2 linked regions of the Arabidopsis thaliana genome follow. The protein of the gene in region 2 purifies or fractionates together with the protein of the main gene of each other region. This does not show direct contact. Each region holds a gene or a part of one and is shown on either strand. Other genes may lie near its edges. The genes, in order: AT1G64880 and PNM1.

Region 1 (3,932 bases), on a different chromosome or scaffold from region 2:
TCAGCTATGCTAATAATTTCAGTAATAAATTGAGAGAAAAGATGTATGGCAATATCCACCATGGTCAAAGAAAAGATAACTTCAGAACATACCAAACAAAGGGTATCATAAACTCATGTAACTATTAGACTACTGGCCTTCTTAAGTATTCATATTGCATGAAAGGAAATTGATCCATTTGTTATAATCTAATAGAATGTATGGTTGAACTTATAAGAGAATTAAGGTAATATCGTGGAAAATGCAAACATCTCTTAATAGAGATATGCCGCATTGTACTAGCACATAACGCATTTTGAAGCAACACCAAGCCTGAACTTTTTGGCTATGTGCTTCTCTCAATAAAGCAGTTACAGCACTACAGCTACAATGGTTACCACGAAAAGTTCTAAATCAAGATCAAACTCTATTGCTTACCAAGCCTGACATATAGAGAATGCACTTACTTTTCTGTATAAAGGTTGTCTTTTCTTCTCTGTCAAAGCATTTCTGTCTTCAGCCAGCTCTCTAATCTCCTCTTCCAACCGTTTCCCCTTCTTCCCAAAGGTATGATCAAGCTCAGAAAGCTTAATCTCAAGTTTCTTGTCAATCGCATTCAGCTTCTCCAACAAAATATCATCCCTTTCTTTCATGTCATCAAACTCCTCTTCATCATCATCATCATCATTGTCATCCTTAGGCCCATCAGCAACAAGACGCTCTTCTCTTTCTTCACCACCACCTTGAACATTATCACGTTCAATAACTCCATAATTAGCAGGGTTGTTTGGATCAAAAGCCTCTTTCCACTCAACCAACCTCATAGCTCTATTCAATTTCTGCTGCAGAACAAACTTCTCTTTCCCTTCAGCTACCTTCAAACGATTCATCAGCTCACCAATAACCCTATACTCAGGTCTAAGCTTGAAATGCTTCTCCTCAAATTTGTCTAATTTGTTCATCCATCTAAATGCCTCATCAAGTGTCTCTGCCAAACAATAACACAACAACTTAGAACTAATCAGAAAACAAACCATAAACCATTTCTAAGCCATAAACAAATGTTCATATACCTGACTTGGTAAGAGTCTGAAGAAGCTCCTTATGTCTCTGAAACTTCTTATTAAAGATATCTTCTTTCTTCCTCTCTTCATCCAAATCAATCTCATCATATTCACTATCCGAATCAGAAGACTCTTCACGCCTATTTAATTCACCATCATCTTTCAAATTCTGCTTCTTAAGCTTCTCGATAAACGGCTCAATCCCTAAGTAATCTTCTTCGTCTTCGGCATCAATGTCTTTGTAATCAAGTCCTTGTCTTTGTCTCTCCTCTCTCTCACGCTGCTTCTCTTTCTCAACCTCTGCTATAAGTTCTCTCACTACTCTATCAGCTTCCGATGGTGACATTGTGCTTGAGGAGAAGAAACGGTACCTCTGAGATGAGATCCATGGCGTTTGATTTACGGGAAAGAAGGAGGAGGAGTAGTAACCGGAGATTCTTCTGGGAAATGTTGATGTTGAGGAATCGAGAGTAGATATCTGACGAGAAAATGAAGATCTAGGGTTCCGGCGAAGTAGAAGACGAGGCCATGACGATGCTCGAGTTCTCAAAGACATCGTCAGAGATTCATCAGATGGAAATGGAAGATAGAAATTTCAAAAACCTTGAGAAGACTGAAATGATTTTTAGGGTTTTTGTGTGTAGTGTGACATTTATTTTACAAATGGGCTTCACTTTCACTCATGGGCCCAATTTAGTCATGTGAGTAAATCCTCCCAAAAATCACCTACAAGCTTATTTTCAAAACTTCATATGGTTGCAATGGCTGATATGTGAAAGGTTTATGAACGATATAAATCTAGTTTTTGTCAGGATTTATCCAAAAGTGCATCATTTACAGTAAATTTACATTTATTCAATTTTGAATATGACCCACGTAATAAATAAAAATAGTTTGTTCTTCGTCTTAACAACTATTTGCAATCTCTACAAGACAATATTTATTGTGTATTTCCTATTTGGATTCTTGAAACGTGACTAGGGTTTATAAATTGATTTGATGTGCCTTGATTGTTATACTTTGTTATCATACTTTGATCAATAAAGAGATTATATCCTACTCTATCTTGTGTACAAAGTTGAGAAAGATCTATCGGTAGGAAGTCTTCTATCAGAGGCGGCCAAACTAATTAGTGATGACGCTTTTGCACTGCTCTGCATCTCCAATTACTTCACTTGACTCATTTGGCTTCATTTCTCTTCCAACACACCTCTTTTAACCCCAGCAGGTCCACAAATCCAAAAACACTAAAAGATATCGAAAACTATATGTTCTCGATATCAAAGACTCGATAATATACATTTAAAAGACCTATGAAATGTGTTAAAACTAATCGCTTAACATTCGTCTGTGTATGCTTATGGTTCTGCGTTTATGGTCTTCTTTTCGAGTTCTTTTCCTTTTTCCACTGTCGATAATCTCTGTATTCATTTTAAAAAAATCCGGTTAACTTGGTTATTTTTGGCTAAATTCGATTTTTTTCCAATTAATGAAGGTAATTTGGTTCGGTTCTGTTTGATTTGATTATTGGTGAAAATCGGTCTAAATTTGGTATAATCCGTTTAATAAAAAAACAATTACTCGAGAAACCGATCCGTCTATTGTATGATTATCCTCCATTTCTAACAACATCAAAGTTTATCTCTTTGAATTTATTATCTGTGGATTTCTTGCACATTTAGACTTAATTACTTACTAAAAAGAAAGGTAAACAATAGAAGAGAGAAAATCTTTTGTTTTATTCAATAAATTTAATTGATAAAATTTTGTGATATCTTTCTTTATAAAGAAGAAAAATTTGTGCAAGACTACCATTTTTTTATTAATAAATTAAGAAACTAGCACTCTATATTCAAACTATAGTAATTAAACATGGAAGGTAGTTTATGAAAAAACTTGGTCTCTTTGTTAGTGGTGATAGTGGTTGTTGTGGTGGTAGTCCTGGTGGTTTTAACGTCAGTGGTGCTCGTGGCAGCATCAACGGTGGTAATAGAGACGATGATGATGGCGGTTGTCAATGACATCAAAGGGATCCTACTAAAATTCATTCAAAGGAGGAACCGACGGTGACAGTGACGGTGACGATGATGGTGATTTCCCCCAAATCAGCGTAGTATCGTTAGAAGCTTGGTTGATCAAAAGCTATTTATTTTAAACGTGTGAATTATATTTTATGTTGAGAAAACATTAGAGATATGGTAGTGCATAAAAATATTGAGTACCACTCTTGCTTAAAAGAAATGTGAAATATATTGGATATCTAAAGTCACCTCAAACCTCAAACTTAAGTGAAACACATTCCCGTCAAATTAAGTGAAGATACCATCGTCGAAACGTTACATATGGTTTCTAATTATTAGACTACAATATAAGATAAGGGATTTGACACCAGCAAATTGAAAAACTAGAAACTAAAAATCCTTATGACTTTATTTAATTAGATAAGACCGTCTTTATTATTCTTGAACTTACGAGCCCAAATATGCTTTCCATTGATCTTATACTTTTGTTTTTCCTGGCCGCTGAGTATACGATCTACGGTAACAACCGAGTCCAAGACCATCTTCGCGAATAGTGGTTGTTGCTGATGACCATTGCAATTTGTGTTGTCATTGGAGGAATTTCCACCGTCCTCTGGCATGTAAACGCTTTCGACACAATCTTCTCCATATATCTCGGTGAAGAGATGAATCACCTCAGCATGTGACACGGGAAAACCACGAGAAAACGTTAGAAATACCGTCCGTTCTTTATCAGTCGCGACATGGTTAGCGTTCCAGCCCCAAAGACCATGAGGAAAAAGAAATGAATTTGCGTTTGGAAGATTATCCCTAGCAACGATATTAGGCAATACGTTGATGCTCCCAAAAGTTGGATGAGGGAAACCGG
Region 2 (3,932 bases):
ATTAACAAAGATTAGCTGACTTGATCCGTTATAATTAAACTCAACTTGGATGTACAAGAGAAGCATTCAATTAACCAAGAAACCTAATTTTACCTCCGATTCTTGAGCCAAGCATGAACTCTTAGTAAACGTTACACTGAGACAAAACAAAAGATTATTGGGACAATTTGCTCATGATCAAGCAAAATGATGAGTACTCTTGACAATATCTTAAAAAGGAAAGAACAAAGACAATAATCTTTAGAAAATTCTATCAGATGTTGAAGATTCATCAGCATCACATTCTCCGTCTCATCTTATTGTGCGGTTTCTTAACAAAACTCATATTGATCTGCTTGAGCCGTTTCTTCTTCCTCGCGGTTTTCTCAGGCAAAGTCTCCCTCTTCTTAACATTGCTATCCACTTCCTTGGTCTTCTTTTTCATAAACCGTGGATCTACTCTGTATTCCTTAGGGCTAACAGCGATTCCTTTCTTAGCCGCTTCTTTATACAAACCATTAGCTCTAGTCAGCTGGTTATTCGCACACATTTTCCCCATCAACAAATCATAAGTCTTGATCCCAGGTTTGCATCCATTAGCTTTCATGCTCTTAAACACACTCATCGCATGCTCAAGCCTCTCAATCCCACACAATATCTTGAGAAACCCGTAATACTCTTTCTTATTCAAAAGCTCACCATATCCCGCTGATTTCATCTTATCGATCATTTCGTCCCCTTCACCGATCCTCGCTGCTTGATACAAACTCCTAATCAGAACAAGATAAGTCTCAGCATCTGGTTGACAACCCCATTCACCCATCCTACCAAACAATGTCATTGCTTCTTCAGTTCTCCTGATTTTACAAAGATTGTTAATCAACACATTGAAAGTCTCTGTGTTTCTAGGTACACCACGAAACTCCATCTCCAGCAAAACCTTCTCTACTTCAGGTTGAAGCTTAAAAGGATCTTTCTTCCTACAAAGCTTACAAACACAATCAAGCATCATGTTATACGCTTTGGTTCCTATCTCAAATCCTCCTCTAGACATTTCACCAGCTAACCTAGTTGCTTCATCGAGTTTCTCAGCAATACACCATCCACTAATCAACAAATCACATATATTCTCATCAGGAAATATTTCATTAGCAGTGTTCTTCACCATCTTCTCTGCGATACTCGCGTGTCCTTTCTCACAAAGCTTCTTCACAACCAAGGTAAGTGATTCTTTATCACGTTTCAAACCATAATCATTCTCCATTTTCTCGAAGAAATCAGTGACCTGCTTAGGTCTACCAGCTCTAACAAGCCTATCAATCGCCGATTCTAGTGTTTTACCTCCGGCGATACCTTTGTATTTCGAGATGATCTCTAGCATTCCTTTGAAATCTTTCCGACGGCCAAAGTAATCGACGAAAAACGAAACTGTTTCATCGGTGTGAGAGAAGTTAGAGTTCGAATCTAACCACTCGTTAAAACCTAGAGCCGCGCGACCAGCTTCCGGTGAGAGATTAAGAGTTTGGAGAATCAAATCGGGATTAGGCGTGATGTGGGAGAAGCTGAGATTGAATCTCTGCGAAATGGTTTGAGACTCGGCGTCTGGATTCCCGGTGAGCTCCTTCGAGAAAGAGAGAGCGATCTCATTCGAATCCAAAGATTCCGATTCCGCATTCGTTTCAGATGAGAAGAATCTAGAAGGAAATGTTGAGAATATAGAGGAACGGGAAGGGGGAAGAGGAGAAAACAACGGCTTGGAAGAAATGATACGGGGCTGAGATTGAAGAGTATTGACGGAGGAGGAGGAAATGAAGCTACGGAGGAGAAGCCGTCGGAGTTGCAGAGACGGTAACGACGGCGGCATTTCTGATTTAGTGAGAGAAAATTGGTAACTAGAGAGTTAGTGAGAAAGGGAAATAGAATAAAACCCTAGTTCAGGATTTAGGAACATCTTGAGTAATTGGGCTTCGTTTCGGGCCTTGATTTGCTTAAGCCCCTTTTGATTGTTTAATTTGAATTTATTATGTATCTGTTTCATTTTTACTCAAAATGGGGGTGTAGCTCATATGGTAGAGCGCTCGCTTCGCATGCGAGAGGCACGGGGTTCGATTCCCCGCACCTCCACCTACTCTAATAATAATCATGTTATAATTTTATTATTCATTTTTTTTTTAATTTAATTAATACATAGAGTCCTCATAGAATTAACATATTCCTATATTTGTTACTTAAATGTTGTTCGTTTCTAGAAGTTTTAACACTATTCAATTTTATAAACTGCTAATTAATAAGTGCTATTAAAAGAGTTCAAAGACGTTAATCAAGATAATTAATACCATAGTTTTGTTCCCTTCCATTTAAATAGGCAAGGATTTTATTGTTGTTCATCAATCAACTACTAAACATATATTTTGTTATACTAACAAAGTTTTTTTTCTTTATTTTTTCTCAATATCTCAGTATGTCTATTAAAAATGTGATTTCACTTTTAATGGTCATATGCATTATAGTCTCCGTAAATGCAAGGCCACCATTTTCGTCTATTTTTACTGATCCATATCCGTTACTTAATAGTTTTCCAGTATTTTCTCGTATATTCAAATGTTATTCATCTGTGATGAAATTTCCAATATGCGTTATAGAAACTACTCAATCCGTATCTAATAGGCGATGGGTGATTAGTCCTTATTGTTGCAAGGCATATTTACATACCAGAGATTACTGCTTGCCAAAAATTCCATACATGCCACATTTTCCTTCTTTCATAAGAAATCATTGTTTAAAAGTTGTTAGAAAATAGAATTTTAATATATATATATATATATATATATATATATATATATAAGTCTTTTAACAAAAATAAAGTTGATTTGCTAAATGTTGTACTCAAAAACTACAATTATACAATAATAGCATTACAACATTCACTTTTCTGTGTTTCATCTTTATTTAGTTGACAATATGATACTTTACATGGACATAGACATATAAACAAATAGTTACAAGGTTAATCTTCTTAAAAAATTTATGTATTTATAATTACGAATATTGAAATTCAAATCAGCAAACATGGTGAACAGATTATGTCTGGATGATGGAAATCACACATTCTAATACGTCTGAACTCTCAAGTTTTTTATTTTATAGCCGGTAACACTATAGGAGAAAATAATAACATATTAATAATATCTATATTTTTGAAAAGATAACAATCATGACTCATGAAACCGTGTCTCCCTGGCCTCCAGAGACCTCCGTAGCAAAAGTAAAAAATTATTTTGAAATTTGTGAGTCTTCTTCTAACTTGATCATTTTCTTTGGTTGCATGTGAGTCTTATATATCGTGATGAAGTCACAAAGGTTCTTTTCATAATATTTATCTTCATGTGAACATCAGCACATGAATATTATGAGTCTTATACATCAGTACATGAAGAACCCTGAACCCATCACTTAAGCTTTTAGTTTATCGTCACGCAGTAGTTGGAAAATATGGAAAACGAACCGAATTATATATTAAAAATACCTTTATAATTTCGGATGCCTCCGTAGCATAGTGGTATTGCGTTCGCTTCGTAAGCGAAAGGCCGCGAGTTCGATCCTCGCCGGGGGCTCATATTGATTTTGTCTTCTTTAGAAAATTTGTGAGCTCTTTCTCCTTTATTTTTACAGCCCAATAGCGTGTTCCCTTTGTGCGCTTATGTCCCGGTCCTCCACATAATTTGCTTACGAATATATCTCACGTCGTCATCATTTTGGGTTAGTCAGATGCTCAGCATAGGCTATGAGAATGTCGGTTCCTAACAAGCTTCCAAATACATATATCGTCAGGGATGTGTGCTAAACTAATCTCCTAATACATATATTTCGAACCTAATCTCCTAATTACTTGTTTGGAGTTAGGAGAATGATCGTTATTTGTATCCAACACTCAAGAAATGACATAAAAGGCA

What was found.
Region 1: the proteins of PNM1 (region 2) and AT1G64880 fractionate together in Arabidopsis thaliana (co-fractionation; one large-scale study listed by BioGRID). This does not show direct contact.

Annotation. Positions count from the first base shown.
Region 1 is NC_003070.9:24,103,380-24,107,311, reverse strand, and holds the start of AT1G64880 (Ribosomal protein S5 family protein), read right to left. Parts: upstream 1,702-3,932; 5' UTR 1,600-1,701; coding exon 1,053-1,599; intron 968-1,052; coding exon 447-967; intron 1-446. Other genes in the region: AT1G64870 (uncharacterized protein), read right to left, coding at 3,481-3,932.
Region 2 is NC_003076.8:24,528,146-24,532,077, forward strand, and holds the start of PNM1 (Pentatricopeptide repeat (PPR) superfamily protein), read right to left. Parts: upstream 1,888-3,932; 5' UTR 1,844-1,887; coding exon 278-1,843; 3' UTR 1-277. Other genes in the region: AT5G60964 (ECA1 gametogenesis related family protein), read left to right, coding at 2,441-2,779. UniProt on the Arabidopsis thaliana protein: RNA-binding protein that functions in both mitochondrion and nucleus. In mitochondrion, it is associated with polysomes and may play a role in translation. Required during embryogenesis.